Pelodiscus sinensis: one gene and its partners. The protein of the gene in region 1 interacts with the protein of each later gene in a biochemical or structural test. Links are inferred from orthologs where the notes say so. Each region holds a gene or a part of one and is shown in the gene's direction. Other genes may lie near its edges.

Region 1 (10,122 bases):
GTGGTTTCTGAGTCACACGCTGCCTTTGCCATCGCCCGTGTCGTGTGAGCCCCAATTGCATCCCAATATAAACATGACCCACCAGCTGCCACGTTCTAGATTGGGCTCCAGAATGGCGCCGTGTGTTCTAGAGCCACACTAAGCTGATGTGGGAAGCCACAATGCCAAAGCAGTGATGTGATCTAGATTCTAGAGTTTTGGGACCTCCCCCCCCCCCCATAGTCTAGATCAGAGTCACATGGTCTCTGGTGCTAGAACAAGAGTCAAAAAGGTCACTGGGCTCTAGAGCAGGTTCCCTAAATGCTGCAGCGTCTGGATCACTGGTCCAAGAAGTGTAAGTGTCCTAGAGCAAGGGACCAGCACTGGCAGCCCGCAGTGTCTCTGCGTGGAGGGGAGCCGCGCTCACTGTGGACAGGGCTCAGAGACAGAGCCGGGGCCCACCTCTCCAGGAGAGGGGGATTGTTTCCTTCTGTTTTCATTTGTCTCCTTCGCCTCTTTCTTTCCCACTTCCTGCGGGGAGGCATGTTCCAGACTCTGTACTCCAGGGCTCCAGGCTCTGGGACACTGGGCCAGCCCCTTGACACGCCACCCAGCGCCCCCCACTCTCACCCATTCCACTGTGCTCCAAACAGCCAGGGAAATGACCTAGGATTTAATAGCTTCCCATGTGGACAAACTCCAAGCTGATCAATGCCAGACATGCTGGCTCCTTCCCTGCCGGGCAGTCCTGCGGCTACTTCCCGCACACTGGGCTGGAGCAGCTGGGGCTGGACATAGGAGGCTGGCGGGGAAGCAGGGGGGACCTGTGGGGACCAGCCCCTGGGGCCTGGAGCTCAGGGGAGGGAGGCTAATTCTCTGAGTAGCACTGGCAGAGCCGGGGGTGGGGAGCCCAGGGCAGGGCTGTGTTAGGGGCTCTGGAAAGTACCCTTGTAAATGTGCCCTGGATATTGGCTGGGAGTGAGGCCATGAAGCCAGAGCCCAGCGAAATGGCTCCGGGTCCCACTGGGCTTTTGGGATCAGTGTGTGTGTAGGGGGGTGGGGGTCTGGCTCTGGCTCCAAGGGCTGTTGGCCCTGAAGGGGCTGGCATGTGTTGTCTCCGGGGGGAGGAGGGAACAAGCAGCCGCAGCCTCCCAGACTCCACTACCTGCAATTAACGGCCTTGTCTTCATTAGACACAGTTACATGGTAATTATCATGAAGCCACCTCCTGCTGAGCATCCCTTGTGCCCCCCAAACCTGCCCGCTCTCTGTCATGGCCTGGGGCACTGCTGGGAGGAACAAAGGGGGTTGTGGGTCAGGACTGAGGGGCACTGGAAGAGCTGGGGGGAGGGAAGCAGGGGGCTGTGGGTCAGGACTGAGGGGCACTGGAAGAGCTGGGGGGAGGGGAGCAGGGGGTTGTGGGTCAGGACTGAGGGGCACTGGAAGAGCTGGGGGGAGGGGAGCAGGGGGCTGTGGGTCAGGACTGAGGGGCACTGGAAGAGCTGGGGGGAGGGGAGCAGGGGGCTGTGGGTCAGGACTGAGGGGCACTGGAAGAGCTGGGGGGAGGGGAGCAGGGGGTTGTGGGTCAGGACTGAGGGGCACTGGAAGAGCTGGGGGGAGGGAAGCAGGGGGCTGTGGGTCAGGACTGAGGGGCACTGGAAGAGCTGGGGGGAGGGAAGCAGGCGGCTGTGGGTCGGGACCGACCAGCACTGGCAGAGCTGGTGGGAGGGGAGCAGCGGGCTGCAGCAGGCCGTTGGTGGGGGGCTACTCCCCAACACCAGTTGCCTGTTCACATCCCTGCTGGTGGCAGAGTTCACGTTGGGCCTGGACTGTGACGAATTCAAAGGGGCTTCTCCCTAGAGGCTGCAGGTCACAGCCTGACCCTTGGGGGTCAATGGGCTCCCCGTCTGTGCTGCCCCATGTCCCTGCTAGCAGTGCCCTATGTATCAGCCTAGTCATAGATGGACCTTCTGTCCCAGGGTCCCAATCAGCCCGGCCATGCCCTGACACGTCAGCAATCGCTGCCCCCATCAGATCCCAGGCCAGGGACCCGCCTCAGAACCCCCTGATAACCTGGCAGGAACTAGAGAAACCCACAGACCGAGCCAGAGAGCAGAGGGATGGGCAGCGTCAAGTGTGGGAGACCGGTACTTGGGGGAATGCTGAAAGCGAGGGGGGAAGAGTGGGCGGGGGGGGGGGGGGCTTGTCATGTGTGGAGGTGGATGGAGGAAGGAGGGAGGGATGGCTGAGTGGGGAGGCAAAAGAGGGAGGGATGGGTCTGGGGGTGATGAGTGTGGGTTGAGTGGGGGATTTGGGCGCAGAGGTGGATGGAGGGAGGATGGGGAGTGGGGGTGATGGAGTGGGAGGGCAGGTGTGGGGGGACACAGGGATGCAGAGTGTGCCACATGTGGAGGTGGATGGAGGAGGGAGGATGAGACAGTGAGGGGTGCTAGAGCGGGTGGGCAGGGGTAGGGCTGTGGGGGGACACAGGGGTACAGTGTGCCACATGTGGAGGTGGATGGAGGAGGGAGGATGAGGCAGTGGGGGGGTGCTAGAGCGGGTGGGCAGGGGTAGAGCTGTGGGGGGACACAGGGGTACAGTGTGCCACATGTGGAGGTGGATGGAGGAGGGAGGATGAGGCAGTGGGGGGGTGCTAGAGCGGGTGGGCAGGGGTAGAGCTGTGGGGGGACACAGGGGTACAGTGTGCCACATGTGGAGGTGGATGGAGGAGGGAGGATGAGGCAGTGGGGGGGTGCTAGAGCGGGTGGGCAGGGGTAGGGCTGTGGGGGGACACAGGGGTACAGTGTGCCACATGTGGAGGTGGATGGAGGAGGGGAGACGGGGGTGTGAAATGTCAGTGATTCCCCTCTCCCAGCTCTGGGGATGAATGTCCCACCCCCCTCGCCCCTGGCAATGGCTCTCCGCTTCCACTTTGCCTCCCCTACCTCCACTCACTGCCCCACACCTGGACCCTGCTGGCGCCTGCCCCACTGGGCTCTCAGCTGGATGGTGAGGCGAAGGCGCCACCTGCCAGCCATGGGGGGAATGGCACCGGCGGCCATGTCACTGGTGGGGGGATGTCGGGAAGGGGCGGGGTGAGTGCAGTGAGAGTGAATGGTGGGAGCCCTGGGCTCCCCCCAGCTCTGCCGGTGCCCCTCACTCTTGATCACAGCCCTGTTGGCCCATTCAGGGCTCCTCCCACCCAGCTCTGCTCCTCCAAAAACAAAAAGTGCCATCACAGTGTATCTGAGCTCTCCCTTCTGCATCCAACCTGCCATGCCAGGCATCTGGGGCATGGGGGTGGGGAGCGCGCCAGGCCCAGGGCTGGGAGCTCCTGCTTTCAGCAGAACGAGACGAACTGGCAGGGCTGACAAGCTGTCAGGTGCACGGAGGATCCCTGGCTGCAACTCCGGCTCCCCCAGCCGGCCGGGGCCAAAGGGGAGCTGGGGAGGGAGCCTGGTGATGGATCCAATCGATCGCGGCTGCTCCGGGGCTGCTCACTCCGACAGCTCGGTGCGGGGAGACACGCTGAGCCCACCCCCTTGTCTCGCATGGCTGCCGGGCGCCTGCCTGTCAGTGGTATGATGAGCCCCTCCCCTTGTTCCATCTGGTTTGGATAGTGGCCTCCTCAGGGAAGGGCGCGGGAGTTTGGCCTGGTCTAGGTTGGAGAGCCTGCACACTGCTACCAGACAATCTGCCCCCATCTATACCCCTCTCTCCATCTCCCACCCCATCTCTCCTTCTCCCCCACTTCATTCCTGCATCCACACCCCTCTCCCATCCCCTCACCCACTCCATGCTTCCCTCTTCAGTCACACAGCAACTCTGTGCAGGATAGCTCACCCAGTGCTGAAATGCAGCTATGTCTGGGGAGAGGCACAGCAGACGTGTAGCAGCCTGCACAGCGGTAGCGACATATGGGACTGGGCTTAGCAGCAACACAGCAGACCAGGCGAGCAGGGAATCCAGCCCAATCTGCAGGAGGGGCAATTGAGGGAGGCAGACTGAAGTGGGGGGTAAATGCTGTGAGTCAGGAGGGGGCACTCTGCTCTCTACTCTCCCCAATCCCTGCACCACAACTCTGTCTAGCACCACACTGGGGCCAGCACCGACCCGTCAGGAACAGTACCTCTTGCTGCGCCCCTACTCTGCCCCCTGCCCTACAGCACCCCCTGCTGAGCCCCCGCCCTGCTCCCTGCCCCACAGCGCCCCCTGCTGAGCCCCCGCCCTTCTCCCTGCCCCACAGCACCCCCTGCTGAGCCCCGCCCTGCTCCCTGCCCTACAACACCCCCTGCTGAGCTCCCACCCTGCTCCCTGCCCCACAGCGCCCCCTGTTGAGCCCCTGCCCTGCCCACAGCGCCCCCTGCTGAGCCCCTGCCCTGCTCCCTGCCCACAGCGCCCCCTGTTGAGCCCCAGCCCTGCTCCCTGCCCTACAGTGCTCCCTGCTGAGCCCCTGCCCTGCTCCCTGCCCCACAGCACCCCCTGCTGAGCCCCCGCCCTTCTCCCTGCCCCACAGCGCCCCCTGCTGAGCCCCGCCCTGCTCCCTTCTCCACAGCGCCCCCTGCTGAACCCCCGCCCTTCTCCCTGCCCTATAGCACCCCCTGCTGAGCCCCGCCCTGCTCCCTGCCCCACAGCGCCCCCTGCTGAACCCCCGCCCTGCTCCCTGCCCCACAGCGCCCCCTGCTGAGCTCCCGTCCTGCTCCCTGCCCCACAGCGCCCCCTGCTGAACCCCCGCCCTGCTCCCTGCCCCACAGCGCCCCCTGCTGAACCCCCGCCCTGCTCCCTGCCCCACAGCACCCCCTGCTGAACCCCCGCCCTGCTCCCTGCCCCACAGCGCCCCCTGTTGAGCCCCTCTCGTGGATCCCACCCACCGGCGCAGGAAAGTAACGCCCGCTCCTGCATGGCCCTGTAGAGTCCAGGCCCCGCCCCCTACAGTCCTACCAATCCAGGCTCCTCCTCTGATTACCCAGCGTCTCCCCCCTCCTCCCGGCTAGTGAGTGGCCGTCTTTGTCCCAAAAACTGTCGCCCACGCTGATTGGTGGGGAGGAAAGTGGGTCGGGTGCGGATTGGCTGCATCCGGCTCCCGCCAGGGCAGGAGCGGGGAAAGCCGATTGGCGTATGTGGGGAAGGGCGTGGCGACTGGCAGGAAGTGGGCGGGCCGGGTGGGGGATTGGTTCCCGGCGCGAAGTGCGAGGATTGGCGGGGGCGTAGCAAGGCGCAGGCGAGGATTGGCGCAGGCCGGCGGGCGGCGCGCGCTGATTGGCCGGCGGCGCGCGCGGCAGGGACAAGGGCCGGCGCGGGCGGCGCGGGGCGGCGGCTTTTGTGGCGCGCGGCGGGTTCGGGTCCCGCTCCCGCCGGCGGCATGTCCCGCGTGTCCGTGCTGGGCGTGTCGGTGCTGGAGAACCCGAGCCCGTTCGGCCGCCCGCTCCGCTTCCAGGTGCAGTTCGAGTGCGGGGAGGCGCTGCCGCACGGTGAGTTCGGGCCCCCTCCCCCCGCGCGCTGGGGAGGGGGTCTCCCCTCTGGCGGGGGGGGGCTTCATGGGCGGGGCTATTCCCCCCCCGGGGGTCGGACTCCAGGGCGCCTGGCAGCGGGGTCCAGGCCGTGCCCGCTGGTCCCTACGCCTGGCCAGGAGCCGGGACGCCTGGGGTCTCTGCCACTGACGTGCTGTGGCCCTGGTCACGTCCCTTCCGGGCTCTAACATGGAGGGAGCTGATTGCCTCACCGTCCCGGGGCTGCGAAGTGCAGGGAGCCTGGACCCTGCCACACACACGCCGGGTGTTTTAAAAAGGCTGCTGGGTTGGCCCCTCTGCCAGGGAGGGTGGCCAGATGCTCTGTCTTGGGCAGGCTCCTCTTCCCCACCCTCCATCTCTTGGCCTGATTGTTCACTCTGGTCGCCTTGTTGTCAGGCCCTCAGAGGCTGAGAGCGCCGTGTGAATTTAAACGCATCGTAATGTCCCCATTGTAAATGCCTGCACAGGCGAAGAGTCTGGAGCTAGATGTGGCCATTTGGGAGAACTGGGCATGAGGAGAAAGCCAGGTGCCTTTTAAGGATGCCCCCATGTTCTACATCTGATCTGGAGATCTTCTCAGCATGCTGCAGAGAGCTCTTTGGTGTTGAAATAACCTAGCTGAGCTAGCCTGATTAACCCTGCTCGTATAACCGTGCCCCTTACCAGTAGGGACAGGACTCGTACCTGGCTGCCGGGGGAATTCTGCTTGCAAACTTCTGCTTGCTTGTTGCCAGTTATGGAATGATTAGAAGAGGTGCTGCTGATGGGGGAGAATCAGGTGTGCCCAGCATTTCTGAAAGCAGGCTATTCATAGCTTAGTTTGGTGGCCAGAGTATCCTTCTGGTCTGGATACTTCAAGGGGCAAAATATCTGCCTTTTGTTGATTAATGGAGTCCAGACTAATTTGGGCCAATGTTCCTGGGTTGAATATTTGCCACTGATAAACATGTGAACGGGACACTACTTAACATGGTGGCTCTGAAAGGTGGCTGTTGGTTTGTAGTTCTTTGTGTGCCCTCCCCCAGTAACATTTCCCATCCAAAAGACTCTTTTGAGGCATCTCTTGGGAGGCTGGTTTCTCTTCTCGAAGAAAGGAGCCCAGGGTTCGAAGAGAATCTTTCTGGGGGGTGTTGGGATAATGTGAATGTGAGATGTCAAATCCCAGAGCGACATTGTCATGCAAGCGTACCTTGCAAAGCCCTCTATGGCCTAAACTGTGAGCCTCTTCACTTCAGGGGGTATCAGAGCTGTGGAGTGGTGGCAGCCAAATCTCTCCACTGTCTTTGAGGCTAAAAAATTGGCATGTCTCACTGGCTTTACAGTTTGAAAATTAGCTGTCTGCAGAGTCTGAGCACAGCCCTGCTGAGCCAAGGGGACAGGAGCTTTGACAGCTGTTGGACTCCCTGTCCTCTTTAAAGCTTCAGGGGGTAGCAGACCATTTGTTGTTTTTTAAGTTCATCCTCTTTGAGGCCATCATCCAGGTTGTGGGAGAGGAGGGGAGGGGGGGGATGCGTGCGCACACAGCACCACCACCTACATAGCCTGCCTTACTCAGCAGGGTTTTTTGGGGGGGTACAGGGGTGCCCCACAGGATTTTTTCCCAAATAGGACGCACCATGCTGTGCTGGGAAACCTGTCTGCAGAATCTCACCAGTGCAGGGAGGGGCGAGTGTTGGTCCTCCATCTGACTGAAATTCCTTGCTCTTAAGGGCTTATGTGGGATTGTCCCCCACTATTCCCTATTCTAGGAGCTCTAGCCCCATTCCCGGGGTTTGAGAGTATATGCAGCTGTTTGCTCCTTGAGGAAGGCTTCCCTGCATGAGGAACCTACTCTAGTCTGTTATGTAATGTAATCTATGGCTGGCACATCCCCCTTTCTTGTAAATTTATAGAGCATCTGTGTGAAAAGCTGTTTCTGATTTGTTATGAGAATGTCCCCTTAATCCAAACCCCCTCTGCTGCGTGACATCACTTTGCCTGGTAAAAGCTACCCTGACCCAGTCTAGGGATATAAGTGACTAGTCGAGTAGTTCAGGGGATCTCAAACTTGTGATACCGTGACATCCCCCCCGAGTTGCTCGTGACCCCCCGGGGGGGTCAGGTCCCACAGTTTGAAAAATGCTGGAGTAGTTGATTACCTGATAAGCCTAGGGTTATTGGGTAGTCGAGTCACTACTCTACTAGTTGCTTCCCCCCCCCAGCTGCCTCTGTATCAGAGGCAGCGGGGGGGGGGGGGGGGGCAGGAGCCAGTGCTGAGAGAGCTGGTTTCCCCTCCTCCAGCTGGCTTTTTCCGCAGGGAGGCAGATGCCAACGTTGGGGACCTAGTTCGTTCCCTAGCGGCTCTTACTACATTTAAAAAGCAGAGCCACAGTGAACCCCATTCTCGACTAATCGAGTAGTTGATTCTGTCGACTACTCGATTAGGGATGTTAAATAGTGGTTAGTAAGCTAATCCAGTCTCCTAGAAAGTACATGCATGTTACATGGAACACTTCCCTCTGGTGTGGAAGTGGAAATGCCACTCTCCCCTCCCCCCAATACACACACACACACACACACACACACACACACACACACACACACACACACACACACACACACACACACACACACACACACCCCTAATCCTTCGAGCTTTGTCTGTGCTTGGGGGCATAGGCCTGGCATTGGCTCAGACTTAGACATGTCTGAGTGTGTCTTTTGCCAAAGCTCAGCACCCACCCAAACCTAAGAGGCTCAGAGTTGAAACTCCTCCCTTTGAACGGACAGTTTGGCAGCCCTGGTACCTGTATTGGAAGGAGCACTGACTATTAACCTGACTTAAAACCAGAGTAGGACTTGCTTGGAATGGAATTACGAGGTAACATGACAAAGGTCCCATTGTGTCAGGCACTGTACAAACAGCAAAAAGAAGGCCGCCTCAAAGAGAATCTGAGGAAAGTACTAGGCAGGGGACAGCAGATGGAACCAGGCAGACAGATGGGGGATTTCAACAAAACCATTCTGGCCTTAAACTGGTGCAGACAATGCTTAAGAGCCCTTGGGTCATAATCAGGAAATCTCTGGTGAGCTTTAAAGAGCAAAGTCTGCTCTAACAGCCTGGCACCCTTTCCACTGGGGCTGCACCCGTCAGGGACTCTGCTCTGGCCTATGGTCTCTCCACTTGCCAGACTCCTGTCTCTTGTTGGCTGGCCACAGGAGCTAACCTTCTGGGATCCCTATCCCTCAAACAAATGGCTTGGTAGCAGTATTCCCTGATGCCACGCAGGAGAGAGTCCAGTGCCACCCAGCTGACTAGCAGAGCACCCACAGCTGGGTTTTGTCTTTCTATTGGTGGTGCCCACCAGCACATGGACAGGAAAGATTAGAGGGAACACTGGTTGGTAGGAAGAAGGGAAGGAACTTACAGCTAAGTCAAATGGTCTTGTGTTTGCCTAAGACTCAGGACCAGAATCTGGTTCTGGGCTGTGCCACAGACTGTTGGGTCTAGGACGAGTCATTTAATCTTGCTGTGCCTTAGTTTCACCCTCTGTAAAAGGGGCATAATAATCCTTGTCTGCTTTATAGTGGTGTCTCTAGAGTGTCGAGGCAGTGCCCAGCACAGTGGGGTGGTGGCCTGTAAGTGAGACACTGATCACTAGGTCTGGATGGGGAACTGATGTGGAATGTAAGCGTCAGGGTCAGATGGTTGCATTGGTGTAAACCTTGCTCAGTTACCCTAACATGAGCCCAGAGCCCCAGCATTACTCAAGGGCTGCTCTGCGAGGGGTGGCTGCCCAGGCTCACTGTGCTCCCCTTCCCTTTCAGACCTGGAGTGGAAGATCATCTATGTGGGCTCTGCAGAAAGTGAGGAGTATGACCAGGTGCTGGACTCGGTGCTGGTGGGGCCTGTCCCAGCTGGGAGGCACATGTTCATCTTTGAGGTAAGAGACAGCTGTGGGAGGGGCTAGAGGGCCTTGTCTCCCGTAAGGAAAAGACTGAGCGAAATGCAGTCAAAGCAGCTGGAGACCCTTATTCTGTGGCAGCCCTTTTGGGCAGGGCTCAGAAACCTGGCCTGGGAGGCGGGGGTCTGGGCACCACCTCGTTATGTTGGTGAAGGTCTTCCGAGCATGGTATCTTCAGAGAGTAGTGGGAACCTGTGGGGATTGGGAAGCACACTTTTCCCCTAGTGTGTTCAGGGTTATTTTTTCCTTCCTCTTAACATGGCTCTTCTGTGGGCTCTTCTCCCAACTGAGATGAGGACTGAGAATTTTCTCCCATTCCCATGCTTGGTTGGTGGGTCTTGCGCCCATGCTCGGGATTGTGCTGATCATGTTTGGGGCTGGGAAGAGTCTGAGCACAGCCTTGCTGAGCCAAGGCAAAGCCCCTCCAGTCAGATTGGCAGGGACATTGGTGGTTATTTGCCTTTCTCTGCAGTGCAGAGCAGGGCTCCCTGCTAGCCTCGTCAGGTTAGCGCTCCATAAATCAATTCCTTGTTGCTGCAGGAGGCTTGGGCATCGCTGGCACTTCAGTCTCTCCTGTTTTCTCCTGTTGGGCTTCCCATGGCTTGGTCTGACCCTGGCTGTTGGGATCGGTAGTGGGTGTGGAGGGGGGTCAGACTAGGTGATCTGGTCGTCCCTTCTGACCTTAAACT
Region 2 (10,302 bases), on another chromosome or scaffold:
TAGACGATACGTGAAACTTCTGTGCTATTGTTCCTGGTAGCAATATGGGGTTTTTTGTACCATAAGGGTCTGTTCTTCACAAGTGCTAATACCAGTAATTCTCAGCTAATCTAGTGAGAATGGCAGATGCTCATACTGCTGTAGTACTAACTACGAGATAGTTTTGTTATGTGCTGTGTGAATTTATTCATAGGACTGCCAATGCACTTCAGTGCTGACCAGAAATACTACCCCTTTGAGTAAAGACTGATAGTGCTAAATTGTATAGTGGTTGTATGCTGTGGGCAAATATGTAATAGGGACTTCAGATATGTCCTCAAAACAAACAACCGATCCTCAGAAATTGAAGTAGTGCAATATTGATTAGGGATGAAAAATCACGTTTAATTAGTTAACTGGTTAAACATTGTTCAACTGGTTAACCACTTATACGGGGGCGCATAGGGGGCCACTGCAGCGGACACAAACCCCAGTTCTAGACTTTTTGAAATAACACTACTGTAATCTGTCTCCTACTTTCATTTCCCATGAAAATACCAATAATGCAGCATGCTGTGAGTACAATAGGGTGTACTCGGTGTTGGAGGAATTACGCAATTAAAAGGGTATTTAAGCTAAAGATGCTTTCAAAAGCAAATAACCTTCCTGATGGTGTTAATGACCGATGAATTTATTAAAACTGAAAACTTAACTCAAATTTAAACATACTCCTGTTTTGCAGATACAATAGAATTGTGCATGAGAATCAGAAAAAGACTAGAAATAAAAGGACTAGCCTGGTTTTTTTGCTCATAAAAATATGCAAAATTGAAAACCACAAATAGTAAATTAAAGTGTTGAGGAGAAATATGGGGATGGTAAGTTCCTTCCAACCATATTTTTTCCCCAGCCAGCAGAGGTGTTCTCTCATTCAACTAATCAAAACAAAAACTGTTTTAATTAAAATCTTTAAAACAATCATGAATACACCCCTTTAATATTAGAAACATATTAATGTGAAACATCAAAATACCAACATATTTTTTTTGGCTTAAGCAACCTTACTGTCTTGTTTAAATTAAGTTGCATTCCCTTCGTTGCTAGTCTTTTTAGCCTAAGAGTATCTTGAGTACCTGATCTAGTATTATGCTACTAGAGATAATGAAATATTATTGTGTTTCTAATGGATACATTTAATGTTTAATTTTGAATACGTAACTGAAATATGAAAATGTTCATATACCTAAGTCATTTTTGATAAACTGGTGTGCAATTTTTCATTTTGTCTATCATTATTTATTTTCTAAGTGTTTTGTCCAGTTACTTCTGTAGTTGAATTTATTATACATGACTGGTAAAATATAATGTCTATATTGAAAAGTAAAAATTTATACTGTACATTTAAATTTTGAGGAACAGCGGGTAAATGAGAGTAAGTTTACTTGTTAAAGTAAATAGATGTATTTTTTGTAAAAAGCACGTTCTGGTTTTGTCAGATCAAAACTTTTAACTGGTCAATAAAAAATAATTTTGTTTTAAATAACATACTTAATAGTGCTCTCTGGCTTTATTTTAACATTCACCATTATAGAAATGTCATCTACTTTACCATGTAGTCTTTCAGAAGAATGTCAAATTGATTTTTCTGTAATCCATGCTAAAAGTGTAGTTGTCACTCTTTAGCGGTGGGACCACATATAGATGGCTTGACTCTACTTCCATGATGAGACCTGATTTTTTAAATTGTATTTATTTTAAGTTCCAGTCTTTGAATATGAAATCAAGCCTCCAGTAGTCCCAGGTTCAATATCCGATTCCCTAAACAAGGGTGGTGTTGGTGCTTTCACAGTTCAAGGCAACTGCATCTGATTTTCCCCCTCTATGAATCTAGCAAAGGGTACCTGTTCTAAGATCCCAGCTAGCTCCTCAGCTTATCAGGGCTTTCTTCCTCCTGACCAGGTTATTTCCAGGCTGCACAGTTCATTGCCTGTACTGTGAATTATCCAGCAAGTCAGACTGCCTAAACAATCCTGTTTTTTTGCTTTTCTCATCTAGAACTGTAAACAGTGTATGTACCACAATTAAGTTACCACACAGCTCTTTCTAAGCAAACATGTTTATTCTTAAGGTAAAAGAATTACAGGAAAAAACCATAGGGTTTTTATTGTTTTATGTACACTAAACTTACTAGAGATCACACCCCATCTCCCAAAAGGTCTCTGGTCTTAAGTCCTTTCAACACTTTCCTGAGAAATGAGGCCCTCTGGTTGGATAGAATGTCCTGTTAGCTGGATCAGAACGATGGTCCCATATTAATTTTGGATAGAATGTCCTGTTAGCTGGATCAGAACGATGGTCCCATATTAATTTAACTCAAACTACTTACGTTCTCGCATTTTGGGGGAGGAAGGTGTCCTGGAGAGTCCAGTTTGCACAAGTAAAGGCAAGACTCTTCCAGAGAGCTAGCACTGACAGTGTTACAACAGAAATGAATTTGCCTAGCCCAACCCCACTCCACCCTTCAACACCTCTTAATTCCTGGAGGACAGTGATCTCCCATCCTACATTGAATTGCATATGTTCCTTAGGCTACCACTGATGCATAAAATTAATGTTTATCCAGAGTATCACAGGAAACTCCCCAATCTATTATAGGTACATTTGGTTATCCTGTCTATAACTACTATACCGCAAACAGACCTGATCCAACCCAGGAATGAAAATGTAAGATCCCAATGTCCAGCATTCCACTGCTGTCCCCCAAAAGCTTGTGTAACCTAAGGGCAATGTGCTATGCCTCCCTATAAGGCAGGGCTACTCAACTTTGGAAGCCCTGAAGCCACAATGATACAGTGCATGCTGAGGGCTGCAACTTAAGTGTGGTTGCATATACATGCAAATAGCTTTTCACACTGATGGGCATGAATACAAAGATTGTTTTAAGCCGTAGCGCCGGACACAAACGTGGCCAGTTTGAGCCAGTCTGCACCTCTCAGGCTCTGCCCACAAGGCTGAGCGGCTAACCCTTCCCACAATGCCCTGGCACTCCCACACCACCTTCGGGGGTGGGGGGGAGTGAGGAGGAAGGGAGCTAGAAATGCTGATGCCCTGTACCCATCTGTTTCAGCCAGCCCATCCATCTGCATCTTTCAATGCTCACACCTCCTGGGAGATACCTTGCCCTTGTGGAAGTCGTTCCCAGTGTAGGCCATGTTCAAAGGATCCCACCTGCGGGCTGTATGCTGTGCATAAACCCAAACCCCACCATGGGCCGCAAATGAATGGGCTGTGGGCCACATGTTGAATAGCCGTGGTGAAAGGGGTGGTCTACATGAAGGATACCAGTATGCTTCATCTCCCTGCCCACAAATACCAGTATCACCACGAGTGCTGAAGTGGAATAGGTCTCTGCTGTGCACTGAAATATAACTGTCATGGGGTGGGAAAATATACATAGAACCAGGGCTTGCCAAGCTGCGGTGAGCCCTGCTCGCCAGCCACGCTGTCCGGCATTCTGTGCATGTGCAGATCACCCAGACCCAGCTCTTCCAGGTTGTAATCATCTTGCCACGGGCAAGTAGATCACATAGATTGTCGAGCCCTGCATATAATTCTAGTTTAAGAGCCCTGAAGCACTTGTTACACTATTTTGCAATGTGAAATCATTGTTTGGATGTGCTAATACAGTGTTTCTCAACCTTCTTTTTATAAAGTACCCCCTTTAAAAAAAAAAAAATTAGAAGTACCCCCCGTACCGACAGTTTTCAGACGCAATGGTAGAAAAAAGTGACTTTTTTAAACAACTTAATTGTAGCTGGGTGAGCAATGAAATTTTTGGCTGTAAAAATTACAAAAATAACAGCACTGTAAAACTTAAAACAAAAATTCAGTTCTCTAGATGTTATTGTTGAAGTACCCCCAGACGTCTCTCAAGTACCCCTAAGGGTACTCATACCACTGGTTGAGAAACACTGTGCTAATAAACTTTGCTATATTTTTACAAATGTTTAGTTTAGCAAAATGCATAGAAGACTTTCCCTCTTTACCCAAACAGAAGATTTCTTGCTGTTCAAGTGCCAAAAAAGACAGAATGTTAAGTTTATTTAACTTGCTTTTGTAGAAAACAATTGTCATTTTTCAAGGTGTAACTTTGCCTCTATCAGGTTGGGTATCTCAGAGCATTACTATTTGAGCTATAAAGCTGTGCCTCTCAACCTCTCCAGACTACTGTAACCCTTTGAGGAGTCTGATCTGTCTTGCTTACTCCCAAGTTACACATCACTTAAAAACTTCTTACAAAATCAGTCATAATTTAAAAGTGTCATAGCATACTATTGCTGAAAAATTGCTTAATATAAAATAGTATTGTCCCTATTTTACAAAGAGGTAGAGGGGTACAGCACCAAATCTCAACTTTATTTCTGGAATGCCAGTTCAGTTTCCAAAATTTTGTTAAGCTCCCTTATCACAGCATGTAGCTAATTAATTACCACACAATATGTGGCTTTATCTGATACACACCCCATCCAGTGCAATAGATTTTCTTCTCCGCATTCTTACATAAAACAATCTGCCCCTTTGCCAAGACACACTATAAAATCCTGGGGTAGCCAGGCATCTGTGGCCCCACAAAGTTGAGACACCTTGTCGACCTCCTCCTGGCCCTAGTGAAAGCTGACATGTACCACACCAGGAGAAGGATGCTGAACAAAGGGGTGTTCTGTGACTGTGGGGCCTATTTCTGCTTCTTCCTACACTCACATCGGGGCAGAGTTCTTCTGGGCAGTGTCCAGTTGCTCCCTGGATAGCTTCAAGGAGCAGTGGGTGCTGTCTAAGGTTCTCTGCTTGGTGTCTCCATCTGGCTCCGTTGTTTTGAACCTATGACCTGCACTCCTGATCCCTTTATTCATTGTTTGTCCCCCATAATCAATGGAATCCTGGGTCCAGTGGACCTTCCTGCAAGGCTCGGAGAGGGGCTTTTAGAAGTGAACTGGGCTTGTGCCTGCCCACGTCCTTGGATTCAAATAGTGACTCAGAAGAGGGAATGGCTGCTGCTCTGCCTATTTATACCCCCCTTCTGTTCTTGTCACCACCAGTTGGAGCTCTCCCTGCCTTCCCCTTCCCTAACACAAAGTGGATGCTGGGCTCTGGTCAGGACTGTTGACTATGCTGTTAAAAGACTAGTCAGTAGCAAGATGGGGCTAAGGTGGGCTGAAGCTACTGGTATGTTTCAGCTTTCCCCTGGCATATGTGGGGCTGGGAGGCAAGGAAGCTGTGTGCCCCGTCTCCCTGAGTACTGGCTCTGCAGCTGCCATTGGCTGGGAATCACCACTATGGGAGTTCCAGGCAGCAACCTTAGATAAGTGCCCCCTGCAACCCACCAGCATCGCAGCCCCACTAGGCTGGGAGGGGGGTGGAATGGGGGGCGGGGCAAAGGGAACAGAGCGTGCTATTAGAGAGTTGCCATGGCAACCCTACAGCCCTACCCAGCCCTGGCTGTGGGCTCCGCGGGCGCTGCCCAGCAGGTGGCGCTGCATCCTTGCAAGTCCCCCCCCCCCCCGGGAAGTGTCAGCGCGCGCATGCGTGGTTCGTGCGGGCGAGCCGTGGTGCGCGGGAAAGAGGAACCCGGCCGGCGGCACCCGCCTCCTTTGCCCCGCGCGCGCCTGCCTCAGGTAACCGGCAACCGAAGGCTCGGGGCGGGGAGGGGGGAGCGCCGGGGGCGGTGACCCCGCTGTAACCGCGGTGCGCCCCCCAGTATTGGAGGGTGATGGGGGGGTGACGCTGGGGACGCGGCGCTGGGCTTTGGTGAGAAGCAGCTACAGGGTCGCTGCGGCTTCCTCCCCCCTGCCCCAGGGGCGCGCTGCTGCCGGGCCGGTGTTTTCTGGGGGGCGGGGGCGCTGGAGCATTTTGAAAGGGGGGGGGGTTGGTTTGCGGGTGTATCCGCTCCGCCCCCCTCTGCCTGTGTCGCTCCGGGGGGATTCGCCCTTTTAACCGCGGGTTTGTGCGTGTGACGCTCCTGCGCCCTGTCGGCAGCGCGGTGGCGATGTGCAGAGCCGGAAGAGAGCCGCTGGGTCAGCGAACATTGCTCCCTTGTTGCTGAGGCCTCTCTTGTTCAAACGCTTCCGAGGGGTAGCCAGGCTGGAACAGCAACAACTGAAAAAGCAACAGATAGGCTGGTAGCACTTTATAGACTAACAAAACATGGAGATGGGATCGTGAGCTTTCGTGGGCACAGCCCACTTCTTCAGATGGCCACAATGCTGGCCATCCACGACAGTCGCTCTCTGAGTTACGCCCACCTCCACTTTTACGACCATCCGCACTTAGGACCAAAGCAGTCGGAAATGCGGATCCGAGTTCCGAACGGCGATCCATGCTTACGAACAGCGCCGTCGCCATGTAACACTATGGGATCCAAGTTGTGAACACTTCGAGTTACGGACCAAGTGTTGGTGCGTAACTTGTTCATAACTCGGGGAGCGGCTGTACTCCGCTCATCTGAAGAAGTGGGCTGTGCCCACGAAAGCTCATGATACCATCTACATGTTTTGTTAGTCTATAAAGTGCTACCAGACTATTTTTTTAGCATCTTTTGTGTGACTAGTAAGCAGCTCTTCTCTTTTCTTAGGAGGAAGAATTTCTGTTCTGATCCATCTCAAGTCCCACTTTTCCTAGGTTCATCTCTCTTCCCTCTCCAGCATGCTAAATCTTTTCTCTTCATTTTACCTTAACTTTCATGGTCCATGAGGTCTGCTGCACTGAACAGTGAATTCCTCTTTTACCCATCTCTCCCTGCTTGCTGTGTTTCTAGCATTATTCTTGCTGCACTTGCTGACTCAAAAACCAGCCTATGCAATTATTTTTGCTGCAGTCAAAGCAGGCAGTGGAGGGATCAGAGCAACATGAAGAATGCAACCACTTTGAGATCTGGGGATCGGAAAACATTTATGTCCAAAGAAATGTACCTAAACACTGCTCCAGCACAACTCTGTCATCATAATAAGATTTCCAGTCATGGAGTTGAGAGCTATGGCTTATTCTCTGAAAAGGTTATTGCTCTTGCAGAAAATGTCAGTTATCATAAACTAGGGGTGAGCAATAATTTTTGATGTGGTGGGGCCACTCCAAAATGTTGGTAAGTGGTCAAGGGCCACACTTTTCTATGGAGGGGATGGGAGGTCTGAGATGGAGGATGGGTGCAGAATGGAGCTTGAGGTAGAGAATTTGGGTGCAGGAGAGGTTATTAGGGGGTGTTTGGGTGAAGGACAGGGTTCACAGTGCACAGAGCTTCCCCCTTCCTCCTGACCACAGAGAGGCTGTGTCTAAACTGCAGGGTTTTTTCGAAAAAAAGTAGCCTTTTTTCGAAAAAAACTTCACCTGCATCTAGACTACAGCCTCGTTCTTTCAAAATTACATTGAAAGAACACGGCTTTTCTTTCAATGGTGGCACTCCTCATTTCACGAGGAATAACGCCTTTTTTCAAAAGTGCTCTTGCAAAAAAAGGCGCTGTGTAATGCAAACTGTGCTTTTTCGAAAGAGAGCATCCAGACTGATTGTAGTCTAGATGCTCTTTTTTGAAAGAAACTTGCAGTCTAGACATAGCCAGAGAGAGATGGAACAGCTAGCCCTCTGAGCTCTGGGGCTGCTCCCTGCCTGTGGATCGAGTGGGACATGCCACAGGGCAGACTGAGACACTGGGCCCCTTGCTTTCACATCTGTCCAAGTGGGTTGTGCCCACGAAAGCTCATGATATTTATATATTTTGTTAGTCTCTAAGGTGCTACAGGACCAATGTTGTTGTTTTTTTCCCTTTTTTTTAGTTACAGACTAATACTGCTACCCCTCCGAGACTTTTAGTAATCTTTTGTAATTTACTGTAATGTTTTTCTTAAAATTTCTCTGTTTGTTATTAACTTTGACTATAATTCTTGTAAAAATAAATGCAAAATATCTGATATCTGCCATGTTTTCCTTTAAAAAGAATGAAGGTCATCACTTGTGAAATAGCATGGCACAACAAAGAGCCGGTGTATAGCTTAGACTTCCAACATGGAACTGAAGGGAAAATCAATCGACTGGCCTCAGCAGGAGTAGACACTGCTGTTCGTGTGAGTTCCAAATTTCGCTGATTTTAGTGTGAGCAGAATATCTAACAAGACATTTAATTTTACTTAAAAATCTCACATTCTTCCAGTTTCCTACTGCCCCACAAGTGAGTGACTCAGATAAAAGGTTATGAGAAAGTGGGCCATGAGTTTTGTCAACTTGAGTTTAATTTTCTGAATAATAATGCTTCTTAATTTCATCAAGTTTGGGTAAGATTTTTGAAATATCTGCATTCCTTCTGCCTCCTTGCAAAATATATAAATAACGGAACTGAAGAAAATGGTGCACAAGATTAAAAATTAATCAATTTTCAGGTATATAGCAGGCAATTTACTATATGTAATTCTTTTATAACTAGATATGGAAAGTGGAAAAAGGACCAGATGGGAAAGCAATTGTGGAATTCTTATCAAATCTAGCTCGCCATACGAAAGCAGTGAATGTTGTGCGTTTCTCTCCCAATGGTGAGGTTTTAGCATCAGGAGGAGACGGTGAGTAACAAAAAACAATATAAAAAAGATAGATGAAAGTCATGTAAAAAGAGCACAGAACATTTCCGATTTGGGGTTTGTATGATCCATTAACTTCCCAATCATGGTGATATATGAGTGTTTCACATACCCTGGTGAATTTATTGGTTGAGCCTCCTTTGAGATACAAAATATTTTCTCTGTTTTACAGATATGAAAGAATTGTTCCTATTTTACAATTGGCGTATTGAGCAGCTCTCCCAATATCATAAACATAAAGGGACTCTGGCAGAGTTTGGAAATTACATACATCTCCAGAGTCACAGACCAGTGTTTATTCTAAGGACAAAGGGACTGGTTAGCTCTCTTGTGTTTGACAGGAATGTGTAACATTTTGGGGAAAGATTTCCAAAGGCACAAAGGGCAATTATATACCCTCTGAAAGTCTTTTGGAAGTTGGGAACCTGACTTTCACTTGGACCTTTGGAAATTTCCTTCTTAATCAACAGTTAAAAAGTCCAGGAGAGCAACATAAAGCAAAACTAACTTATACATTTGTCTCCTGTTTCTACATAATAAAGGTAACGGGGATAAAAACATTTCTAGGTCAGTCCCCTAAAACAAATCTCCAAGACTAGTCTAAATATTTTTGCTGGTTGATTTTCAGATTACATGTAACATAATAGCACAATAAGACCAATATAATAATTCATTATAAACAAAGCCCAAACATTTCTTATCAACAAGTCATATTATTCCACAGACGCTGTGATTTTATTGTGGAAATTGAATGATAACAAAGAACCAGAGCCAATAGCATTTCAAGATGAAGATGAAGCTCAGCTGAACAAAGAAAATTGGACAGTATTTAAAACATTAAGGTAATTTAATTGGGTTTTTGGAGAGTTTTCTTCATTCCATGATGCTCTTTGTCTGGAATGGCTTTCCACTCAACTTATGCAAATCTCTTACCGGGGGCCCTCCCCCCCCCCCCGAAAACTCACTTGCTTCAAAGTGTATTCCTGTTATTCATTCTAATTACTGTTCTCATTTAGTATCTGTCACTAGCAGTGTTCTGTACCAGTCTGTTTCTCCAGTTTTCTCTAGCAAAGTTCTCTGCACCTACTTATTTACTTCAAAAGCTCTGTTTTTGTACACGAGGAAATGTTAAGTAAACAGACATTTTTATTACTGAATTTATAATTAATATAATTTAATCATGAATATTAAACAAAGGGCCAAAAGATAAAACAAATCACGTCTGTTTGCTAAGTAAAACGAGAGCAATCAGTCCTTGCCACATTTTTTAAACTAGTGTTTAGAGAGTTGTTGAAAAGTTTTATTCCAGCTGACTGGCAATATTACTTTCAAATTACAATAATTAAAAAAAACTATGAAAAGCGACAATTATATTATATGTAATACAAAATAGCCTTTATTTCACATTGTACATGATACTCATTAAAATGTATGTGTACTCACAGTTAAAATAGTTAATTTAATTGAAACGAGTGGTTGTTTCAGTCCAGTTCCTAGTAGGCAAGACATCAGATCACCACTATCACAGTGAGAACTGAATGGCATCCTGTTGTCACTCTCTGTGGAGAAGCAAAGAAATGAAAGGCTATGGAAACCTAATTAACCTTTTGTTCCTTCATGGGACAATATGTGGAATGCTATCCTCTGTTTGAGCAGCATCTGTGGATAAAATGAGCACTTTGGTTTTTCTGTGTGATTATTATATTC
Region 3 (10,339 bases), on another chromosome or scaffold:
AAATCGGGACGAAAAGCTGAAATCTCAAAAAGTGTCGGCAGCTGAAAATCAGAAAAACAAAAATCAGCTTGGGTCAATCAAAATATTTTTGTTTTGGTTCTTTTCAAAAAATTCATTTTAGATTTCAATCATTTTAAAAACTTTTGTTTAACTTTCTATTTTTAGCTTTACATTCTAAACAAGAAGTCATTTAGAACAAGACAACTGGAATTTTTCATGCCAAACAGGTAAAAAGACAATGTTGCAACAATTCTGATGGATTTTTAAAAAATTCTAGTTGAAAAAATCAGTTGGAACCAGCCCTCTCCCTCAAAAAGGGTTGGTGTCGATGAAGCAAATTTCTGATTTTTTTTTTTTAATTTTGTTGAAATATTCCCCACCAGCTCTATGCACAGGCCAGAGCTGGCAGTTTTCCAGCAGTAGCAAATGCCGTAGCAGTCACTGAGTATGTCCAGCCACCTGCTACCGCAAGGCCTTACTTTAGGGACCAACGGTCTTATTAAACCTTTAGGCTGCGTCTAGACTGGCATGATTTTGCGCAAAATCTTGCCGCTTGTCTACACTGGCCGTGAGTATTTGCGCAAGAACACTGACTTTGTAATGTACAAAATCAGTGGTTCTTGCGCATAAACTCTGACGCTCCCGCTCAGGGATAAGCCCTCTTGCGCAAGTATTCTTGTGCAAGAGGGCCAGTGCAGATAGCAACATAATTTCTTGCGCAAGAAAGCCAGATGGCTAAAATGGCCATCGGAGCTTTCTTGTGCAAGAGAGCGTCTACACTGGCACGGATGCTTTTGCGCAAAGGCACATGCCAGTATAGACGTTCTCTTGCGCAAATACTTTTAACGGAAAAACTTTTCTGTTAAAAGTATTTGCGCAAAATCATGCCAGTCTAGATGCAGCCTTATTTTCCAGTAGCACCCAAAAGGCCTAAGCTTGATCAGTGCCTCAGTGGGCAGAGCAATGTACAAAGAGGGAGAGAGAGTTTCTACCTTAGCTCGCAACTTCAAGCACCTAAACAGAGCAAGGTTGGAGTGTGGAGTTATAATGTACGAGCAAGTGACTACTGGAATGAATGGCGTAGTGTGGTACTGGTGAAGCATTCTACTGAGGGCCAGTGTTGGGATGAAGCGCAGGGAGAGGGTGTCTAAGTGATGTGCAAGCTATGTCCAGGTTAGATAATTTTATTAGAAACATTCCCATAAGAGTGACCTAATTCAGCTTCCCTGGTGGGAATTCTGGTTAAAGTTCCTTCCCGTTAGAGCATTGAGAGTTTCACAGACAGTGAGCAGCACGCTGAATGGCACTTATGTGCGTTTCGGAGGCAGTGTAGAGCCGGAGGCATGGATATCGTCAGTGCTTTGTTTGTTTAAAAAAAAAAAAAAGGAAGTGCCAGTACTAGGGCTGCCAGATGGTTTTGTTGAGCCAAAAAACCCAAAAAAACCCAAAACAAAACACTCCGGGGAAAATTTGTCGGGGGGGGGGGGGGGGGAGCGCATGGGAGGTCGGGGCTGAAATGCGGCAGCCCCTTTAATTGCCATGTCCCGAGTGGGGCCGGTGCATACCATCACAAAACAAGCACTAGGTGTCGTATGCAATTATCCATCCACCCTACCTAAAATGGGTCAGGCCTCATACTATACTCGCTGATGCTTTCAAGAGATCTGCGAGAGAGCCCCCAAGTCGAGTGTGCTGCTGTAGACCAGTCTGGAGTTGTCAGCTGCATCAGAGAAGGATACAAAAGGCGGGGAAAAGATGGTTGTATCCCAGTTGTGTGAGGTGCTGCACAAATGCACAGAAAATGACAATCCCTTGACCTAAGGTTTCATCTTGCCCCCATCTAGCGGACAAGATATAGCTGATGAGATGAACAAGCAGGTGTAGGGACGGGAGCCAAGGGAACGTAGGGCCACATGAAGAGGATGTGTGCAATCCTTAGTCAATTAGGGACGACCCTGCGATACCCAAAGCCTGAGCTAACTGCCCAGGTTTCCATATTGAGGGTGAGCCACAAGCATGTGTGTTAGGCAGGGAGCTGCCTAAGCTAAGGATGTTAAGGAGTAGTTGACTAGTCGATATCTCCCCCTGCCCCCCCCCCCCAGCTTGCTGCTTCTATGAAATAGAGGCAGCAAAGCAGGGGGGAATAGGGGGTACCTCAAAGCGGCAGCACCGCACAGAACCTGTACCTGGGCTTCGTGTGCGCTGCCACTTTGAAATGCCCTGGTAGCACCACACAGCTCAGCCCAGGCTCAGTGCATTTCAGATGTGCATTTCATCTCAGTGCATAACCTGCTGGGGCTCTTGTACATTTCAAAGGAGGAATGCGGAAGTGTCAATCAACTAGTAAATTACTCAGTATTTAACATCCTTTGCCTAAGCCAGCCAATAGATGCAGAGCAAGAGGGGACGTGCTAAGCCTTGTCCCGACTCAGAAATAGGCGCTAAGTCTGGGCAGCCGGATGGCATTTATCTCTGCTAATGAGCCCTCAGGCAGGGGAAGTCTGTGGCTAGGCCCTCAGCCAGAGTGTAGGAAACCCCTTCCTTCCGAGGCAGAGAAGGAATCTGAAGAGGGTTTTGCTGCCTCTCAGGTGAGTGCTCTGACCACTTGATCATGGAGTATTCTGATGTGAGGCTTCCTCAATCCCTCCTATTGCAGATGTTCCCCTCTCATGAAAACCAGAATAATTAAATATTAATTGGGGCTGAGAAAAACTTGGAACAACTTAACCGCCAAGCAATTAGAGCCCTCAGTGGAGAGGGGCCGCAGCCTGTTCAAATTCCTTCTCTCTCGCAGGAGGGGGGGTTTGGACCAGGGGTCGCAAGGTGAGTGCACTAGGCTAAAGGTTAGAATGAGCTCCTCTCTCTCATTTTGTGTGGGCGCGTCTGGGGGCCCGGATCCAGTAGGTCACTTCTGGGTACACCTACCAGAGTGGGACCCTGCCTACGACGTGAATGGCAAAATGTCCATCTTCCCTGCTTTGTGAGTTATGGGGGGGAGCCAGAGGAGATAACTGGGCAACTAGCAGGATGCAGGAGTGCACATGCCCAGAGCCAGACACATGAGCGCCTGGGCATCTTTTCCTGCAAAAACGGTGCTGAGGGAGAACAGGCACCTTCCAGGGCTAAGGCGACAGCCACGTAGGAGTTGAGTGGAGCCTAAGGGACTCAGGAGAGAGGTGAAAGTAAGGCGGTGCGCCGCTCGGGCAAGAGCTGACTGGGGGATGCTTTCCCAGGCCAGCTCCTGCAGGCTGGTGCCGGAGACCTGGCGTGCCCAGCCAGGTGAGGCAGGCAGGTGTGCAAGGGACTGGCTGGGATGCGCTGTAAGGGGGAGACACGCTTCCAGCCAAGCTACTGGTGCATCCACACCTGTCCTGCTGCCCCCCTCGCTGGATGCCAGGCAGCGCTTGTGCAGTCCGTGGCATGCACGGCTGCCAGCAGCCCCTGGGAAGAAGCCAGGGGAAGGGAAGTGGCAAGCTCACACTGCTGCTGGTATCCCTGGAGCCCCCACAGCTCCCTTGTGGCCATGCAGCAAACAGGAGCAGCAAGGCAGGGACCTGTCCCCCAGCCAGGTAAAGGTAACCAGGCAGCAGCCATCCCAGCCCCCCCTTTCTCCTACACATGCACCCCAGCTCCCTGTCTTGAGCCTCTCCCCCAGACTCCCAACCCCCGGCCCTGACTCCTGCACCTCCCCCCAACTACATCCGTGCCCTGAGTTCCTCTCATACCTAAATCCTGACTCCTACACCCTCAAGCCCCAACCCTCTCCCCCCGCACTCCACCCCATTCTTACATTTCTCACAGGTAGTTGCATCGCAACCCCCTCCCCCACTCTTTGCTCTGAGCCCTCCCAAGAGGGGCAGGTTGCCTTAGGACAGTATCTGTAAGAAATTTAAGTTACTTTCACCCCTGGGAGTCTAAGTATCTTTGTGGCTCATACCCAAAGAGCTAAGGACCCTTAGTATAGGACAAAAATGCAGCTTGTGGCATCTCTCACTCTTCCCCCAGGTATTTCACATGTTGAACAAGCGACTGAACCCTCCACAACTGAGGAAAAGCAGCATGTGGATCAAGAGCAATATTGAATTTCTTCAAAGGAATGAGCAAAACCATACTGAAGTGACACACCCATTCTGCTACGTGACTCAAGGCTGCTGGTATAACTAAATCGCTTCAGTAGCCTGAGTGTCTGACTGCTGTTTCCTGCCTCAAGGAGATGATCGACCATCAGAACTAATGGCTCTAAAGCCACATCCAGATCCACAGACATAAACCACTGCAGTTAAGACCCTGCTGGAGTTGACCTGCTTCTTGGATATAAGAGTTCCCAGATCTCCTTTCCATTTCTGTTCTCTCTTGTTGATTTGTAACTATACCAATGAAGTTTACTTATGTTATGAATGAAAATTCCAAATGTCACTAATCATCCTCTAAACTGTGGTGATAAGTTGTAATAATTTAGATGGCTTAAGAAACATGCACAACAGAAGTCAACTTTCAAAACAGTTTGCACAGGTCCCTGTCAGTGTTCATGTCCCCACGGTGCATCTCGGGGTGGGAGCTGAAATTTTGCTACTACTTCCTCAGATTGGATCTCCGGCTGTGAAATAGGTTAAAGCACAGGAAATGCAGTTTACGAGAAAAGGCAGACATTTTCAAAGTGATTTGCAAAGCAAGTGCCCAGCAGCCTCCTCTACTCCCCACCTTACCGTTTTTAACCTCTGTTAAACTAACCATTTTAAAATAAAATATTAGTTCTTTTCAGCACTGCAGGTTACTGCCTTTTCTTGTACATTCCAATGGAATCTATCATTCCCTTAGTCCTACTCTGTATCCTCAGATTTGCCAAACTGGCAGATTCCTGTTCGACTGTACGTTCTCTTTATTGCAATCAAGTAAATCTGACTTCAGTGGCTGACTCTCTTTTGACATGCAGCCATATTGTCTAGAACACCTTTACCATTGCACTGTAGTTTTGGAAGGCAAATATTTCATCCAAAATCCCAGCAACTTCCTTTCCTGTCCCTAATCCACGCCTGCCTCCACTTGGACAGGCATGGCCACTTCCTTTCTGAATAACCTTCCCCACCCCCAATTTGTTTGCTTTTCAGAAAGCTGATTCAGCCTTAAAGCAAAGTGAGTTGCAGTGCTGTTTAGCGTCACTTAATATTCTCTCTGGTGATGCCCCAGGGTTTGGAAGAAAAGGGAATAAGAACAAACTACAAGGTAGTCTGGCTACTGTGGGGGAGATTAAGTCCTTTTCATACTGGAGTTTAGCAAGAGGCAACTACAAGAGCAAACCCCTAGCTGTAAAAGTGCCAGGAAAGTCTGTGGTTAATTTTAAAGTCACTTAGTTTGCTTTGACTGCCCATCCTGCTGTTTATGTGCAATATCCATGTTTAATCAGGAGCTTGTTAAAAAGATTGAAGAAATGGCAAATCAGGGAAGAGGCATTCTTGTTTTCTCATGTCTTTTTCGCAATTCCTCAGAGGCACAATTGATTGGGAGGTTGGGGATGTTCTGCCTATAAACTCTTCCCTTCAGGCCCTGGAGTCAATCTCTGGGGAACAGGAGACTGTCTTTGCAAACAAGGTCCCCTGTTGCTCAGGAAGAGGGAGGAATTCCCTCTGGGTGGAGATGGGGAGGAATTTTCCCTTCATGCCACAGGGAGTTAAGCAGAAAGCAGGGAAAGTGGATTCGCACTGATCATTCTTATGCATCAACTCCGCTCCTCTGCGCCTGGTCTGTTACTCCTTGAAAGCACCCTCCTGGCTGGGGGAGCAAGACCGCCCAGGTTACCCCTGAGCAAAACGTCAGCCACCCACTTTGCCCCCTAGCAGCAGCCTTGCAGTTCATTGGAGGGTGAAACAACCTGGGTGGGTATAAATCTCCACCAATCCCCTCCCCGATGCACTAATCCAACTGTGCTGAACCCTGGCCCTCTGCACGTTCTACTTTCCCCGTGCACGCCCCCTCCCCAGGCACTAACCTCTCACCTCCAGGACGGAGCCCCTCCCCTCTACACTTGACCCCACTTCTCCTACCAGGTGCCCTGGCCCCCCATGCACAGTCCTCTCCCCTGGCACAAACCCCAACCCCACGCACTAGCCCCTCCCCGCGCTGACCTCCCCCCTCCCCATGCCCATTAGCCCCTCCCCTCCCCGCATTCACCTCCCCCACCCCAGACACTAGCCCCTCCCTACGTTGACCTCCCTTCCCCCCTCCCAGCACTGACCTCCCCTCCCCCCCCAGCCGTGCAAATCTCGCGAGAGAACACGCGCTTTCACTAGTGTGTCTTTGCACCAATCGATCCCTACCGGGCCGGGCCGAGTCGGACCAGGGGGCGGACCCGGCCGCCCCGACACCCGCCCCACCCCCCCATCGCCGACTACTCGGGCTGACCGTGCAGGGAGGGGGGTGCCCCGGATTCTCGTGCCCCCCCCCGCGGCTCGTCGGAGCCGCCCCCCCCCTTTTTCCCCGGGGCCTTTGTCCTCCGAGGCCGCCGCCGCCCCCTCCCCGCGCCTCGCGCCCCTTGCCCGGGCGGGGCGCCTACGCGAGGCCGGGGATCCGCGGCCTCCCCCGGCGCCGGCGAGGGGCTCGCCCCGCGTCCCCGCCTCGGAGCCGCCGAGCTCGCTGCCCGCGCCGGCGGGGCGCCTGGCTCAGGAGAGGCCGCGGAGCCGCCCCTGGCCTCCCCCTCCCGCCCGGGCGGCCGCAGCAGGTTCCCCCCGCCCTGCTGCTGCCCCCGGCGGCGGCGGGATCCGAGCGGGGCCCGGGGAGCGGCCGGGCCGGGCCGGAGGGGAGAGGAGCGGCGGGGGAGCAGCGCCAGGTGAGAGCCGCGGGGGGGGGGGGCGGTTGCTAGGGGGCTGGGGGGGGCGCGGCCCCGCCCTGGGGGTCCTGGCCCCGCTGCCGGGGGGGGGACGCGCCAGGCCACGGGGCGGGCCGGGCTCGGCCTGCGGATCCCCGGCCTGGCAGTGGAGGCGATGGCTGCCTCGGGTGAGGGGGAGGCCGGGGCCGCAGCTGGGACTGGGGGGAGGGGGGGGCTACATCCCTCCGTGTGGAAACATCGTGCCCGGTGTGGGGCAATTCCCCCGCCCCCGGGGTGCGGCCTGTCAGCAGGTCTGCCCCAGGGCGCCCCCCACCCCCGGGGGGCAGGGACACCCCCGCGTGTGTCCGCCTCAGCCCCCCTGCAGGGCTGGGACCCCTGTCCCCAGGCCGCGCCACGCTGGTGGGGGAGGCTCTGCCTGCTGGTGGGGCGCCCCTGCCGCCCCTCCATCGCTGCGCTCCTTGCCAAGGGAGAGCACTGACAGCTTTGTTAAATGGAGACCAGAGGGTTGTATTAATCCGGTGGCTCGGTGTGTTAGGGCTTTTATGGCCTCTTCAGGGTGTGAATGCCCCCAAATGGACTCGCTCAGCACCTTGGAGATGAGAGGAAATGAGATTGGGGGGACAAAATGGACAGTCAATAAAAGGAACAATTATATGGTGGCTTTTCTAGAGGGCACTTGCTGCCCTTCAGGAACTTTCCATGTAGCATATGATCTTTATACAGCAAATCTGTATTCTCTCATTTTTTTTTTTCCTGCCATGATCTCTTTCGGAGAAATGAAACTGGAACAGATATTTCTGGAACTTATGAACTTGCTCCGAATGCAGTTAAGAAGATGTGAATCACAGTTTTAATAAACTCTGCAATTCCTCACTTTTTTTCAATTAACACTGAAATTGTACGTTTCAAGAATTAAACCAGATGACTCAAGGATGCCTTTAAAAAAAAAAAAAGCGTTTCATACAATGGTGCCAGTTTTAATGGATCACTTGGAAGTACCCAGAAGCATCCAACTATATGGGAGAAACTTGTGTGTTTGAGTATTTGGTACATTGTTTAGTAAAAGGAGAAGTTTAAAAAAGCATCATTCTCCATCTCATCCTTTTCCTGAAGAGCCTAGGCTTTGTCTCTGAAGTTGTCACAAAAGCCCTAGTAGCTGTAGGGCATTTGGAGTTATCCAGTGCTTCAGTGAATGGCAAAAACAGAGAATAGTGGGGGTATGAAGGATGTTTGAGAGTTTCTGACTAGTGTAGGGCTAAAGACTTCAGCTATAGCGCCCTCCCCTTCTGTTTTGTCTGCAAGAAATTTAACAAAATACTCAATGGGAAGACGGTGGAATCAGAGGGTTAGCAATAGGACTGAGGTTCCAGTTAAGAAATTTCCAATAAGTGGTAATTCTGTCAGATGATGGAGCTCTCTAGAATAGGCCCTGGTTAAAATAGTAACATTTTGGTGGCAAGTCACATTTTACTACATGATCATTTTGAATCTATATTGCATGACAGAAATTATTTGTATACAGTCACTTGTTACTACAGCTATTTTTGAGCATCATCAATGCCAGAGAAAATACATTCTTTCCCTTTTCCTTGCATTGACTAATATAGCATATTTTTCTCCCATAGCAGCAGAAATGATGGAAGAGTTGCATAGCCTGGACCCCCGACGCCAGGAACTGCTGGAAGCCAGGTTCACTGGAGTAGGTGTTGCCAAAGTAAGTAAAAGTGCCTGTGAGAGCAGGCACAAATACCTTGCACACCATTTTTTTTTTAACAGAGAAGTAGTGCTGTTTCAATAAGGGGAAATTGTTCATTGGTAATTTTGCTTTGTCCACTAACTTATTTTAAAGTGTGTGTAAAGAAGAATATACAATACTGAAAATAACGAGTTTGCCTCTGTGTACATAGACATCATGGTGTGTGTGAGAGTTTGAAGGCTTGCTCTTTTTTTTTTTTTTTTTTTTTCCTAGTATAAAAAAGCCATGCACCACACACATGTTTTGGAAGAGGGAGGATAGGCCATCTTTTTCCTATCTCAAAGGGTTTGTCTAGGAAACAGATGAGTAGCTTATTTGTTCTTCTTTGAGAACAACTGAAATTGTACAAGCTTAGCCTAATTTGTTGAGCCCTGGATATAACTATCTACTCGCCTGTGGTGAGTAGATTTTAGCCCAGCGGGGCCGCGCAGCGCGGTTAGCGTATGCCCTTCCGTGTGGCTGGCAAGCCCTGGTCATATCAATCAAAACTTACTTATTCAAGGGTAAGCTTGTGTATAATTAGGTTTGCAACCTGCTAGCAAAATCATAGAATCATAGAGCTGGAAGAGACCTCAGGAGTAGGGATGTTAAATTGTGGTTATCTGACTAATCATGTGGTCGATACAATTTGTTTCGACTACACGATTAGTTGATAAGGACCACTCTGCAGAGCAGCAGCGAGGGTACCTCCGGGAGCTGACTCGAGCATTTTAAATGTAGTAAGAGCCCAGTTGGTCTTACTACATTTAAAATACAGAGGTACAGTGTCCTGGACCAGTGCGAGCCAGGACCGAGCAGTCCTGGCTTGCGCTGAGTCCAGCAGCCCCGGTTTGTGGCGGCTAGAGGCTGCTTTGGCACCAGCCCCTGTTCACGGTGAACAGGGCTGGCTGCCAGAGCAGCCTCTGCGCACAGCCAACTCGGGCCACCGCGAACAGGGGCTGCTTGGTGGTCCAGCTCCCTAATGGGGCCCCTGTGGATAGAGCAGCTTCCCCTCCCCCCCCCCTCTCCGCTGCATGTGATAGAGGGGGCAGGCAGCACCATGGAGGGAGCCATGCCGCGGGGAACCAGTTTTTAAGCCTCTCCTAGAGGCAGCAAGGCAGGAGATGAAGTGAGTAGTTGATACTCTAGTCAACTATTCACTAACATCCCTACTCAGGAGGTCATCGAGTCCAGCCCCCAAATCCTACCCTTCTCTTAATATATGACTTTGTACCTGGATAACAGTTGCATTTCTTGAGTAAGGCATTCAGTAATAAGCTATGTCATTTCCGTCCTTTTGTTTAAAATTCCAGGATTGGATTTGATCTGTTTCTGTGTGTACTGTTATAGTGCCTATAATAGTGTGTCTTCATTTTTCTCACCATTCTAGTTCTCAAATAATGGTGGAACAGTGATAACATTCCAGTTTGCATACTTGAAAGTCACTGAGTTTCAAGCCATATCAAGCTAGAAAGGAAATATAATTAGATAACTTGTTGCTATAAAAAATGCAGCCACCTGTTGGAATCATATTGGGCAGAGGAAACTAATTTACCTTTCTGTGATGAAAAGTACAAAATAAATACATCAAATTTTGGAAAGGTTATATCCAAGTTCATACTTTGTTTCTGACCTACTTTGTGCTTCAGTTGTATTATGAAGCCCTGGAAGTAGATCAGTAAGTAAACAGTTTGCAACTTAAAGGAAGCTGAGACCTGGTCCAAAACTGAAAAGTTTTAGTGTTAAAACTTTTGGTTAGGTATGCTATTTTTTAAACTTAT

What was found.
Region 2: the proteins of ASF1B (region 1) and CHAF1B form a complex in vitro, tested with the Homo sapiens proteins (2 studies listed by BioGRID and IntAct). The link is inferred for Pelodiscus sinensis from reciprocal best matches to the Homo sapiens genes ASF1B and CHAF1B.
Region 3: of the proteins of ASF1B (region 1) and TLK2, one has a biochemical effect on the other in vitro, tested with the Homo sapiens proteins (3 studies listed by BioGRID). The link is inferred for Pelodiscus sinensis from reciprocal best matches to the Homo sapiens genes ASF1B and TLK2.

What each region holds. Positions count from the first base shown.
Region 1 is NC_134729.1:10,140,330-10,150,451, reverse strand, and holds the start of ASF1B (histone chaperone ASF1B), read left to right. Parts: upstream 1-5,255; 5' UTR 5,256-5,341; coding exon 5,342-5,450; intron 5,451-9,296; coding exon 9,297-9,412; intron 9,413-10,122. UniProt on the Homo sapiens protein: Histone chaperone that facilitates histone deposition and histone exchange and removal during nucleosome assembly and disassembly. Cooperates with chromatin assembly factor 1 (CAF-1) to promote replication-dependent chromatin assembly.
Region 2 is NC_134711.1:185,728,502-185,738,803, forward strand, and holds the start of CHAF1B (chromatin assembly factor 1 subunit B), read left to right. Parts: upstream 1-5,509; 5' UTR 5,510-5,651; intron 5,652-5,691; exon of another isoform or gene 5,692-5,784; intron 5,785-7,961; 5' UTR 7,962-7,962; coding exon 7,963-8,088; intron 8,089-8,444; coding exon 8,445-8,577; intron 8,578-9,319; coding exon 9,320-9,437; intron 9,438-10,302. UniProt on the Homo sapiens protein: Acts as a component of the histone chaperone complex chromatin assembly factor 1 (CAF-1), which assembles histone octamers onto DNA during replication and repair.
Region 3 is NC_134739.1:5,110,114-5,120,452, forward strand, and holds the start of TLK2 (serine/threonine-protein kinase tousled-like 2), read left to right. Parts: upstream 1-6,356; 5' UTR 6,357-6,823; intron 6,824-8,448; exon of another isoform or gene 8,449-8,451; 5' UTR 8,452-8,456; coding exon 8,457-8,537; intron 8,538-10,339. UniProt on the Homo sapiens protein: Serine/threonine-protein kinase involved in the process of chromatin assembly and probably also DNA replication, transcription, repair, and chromosome segregation. Phosphorylates the chromatin assembly factors ASF1A and ASF1B.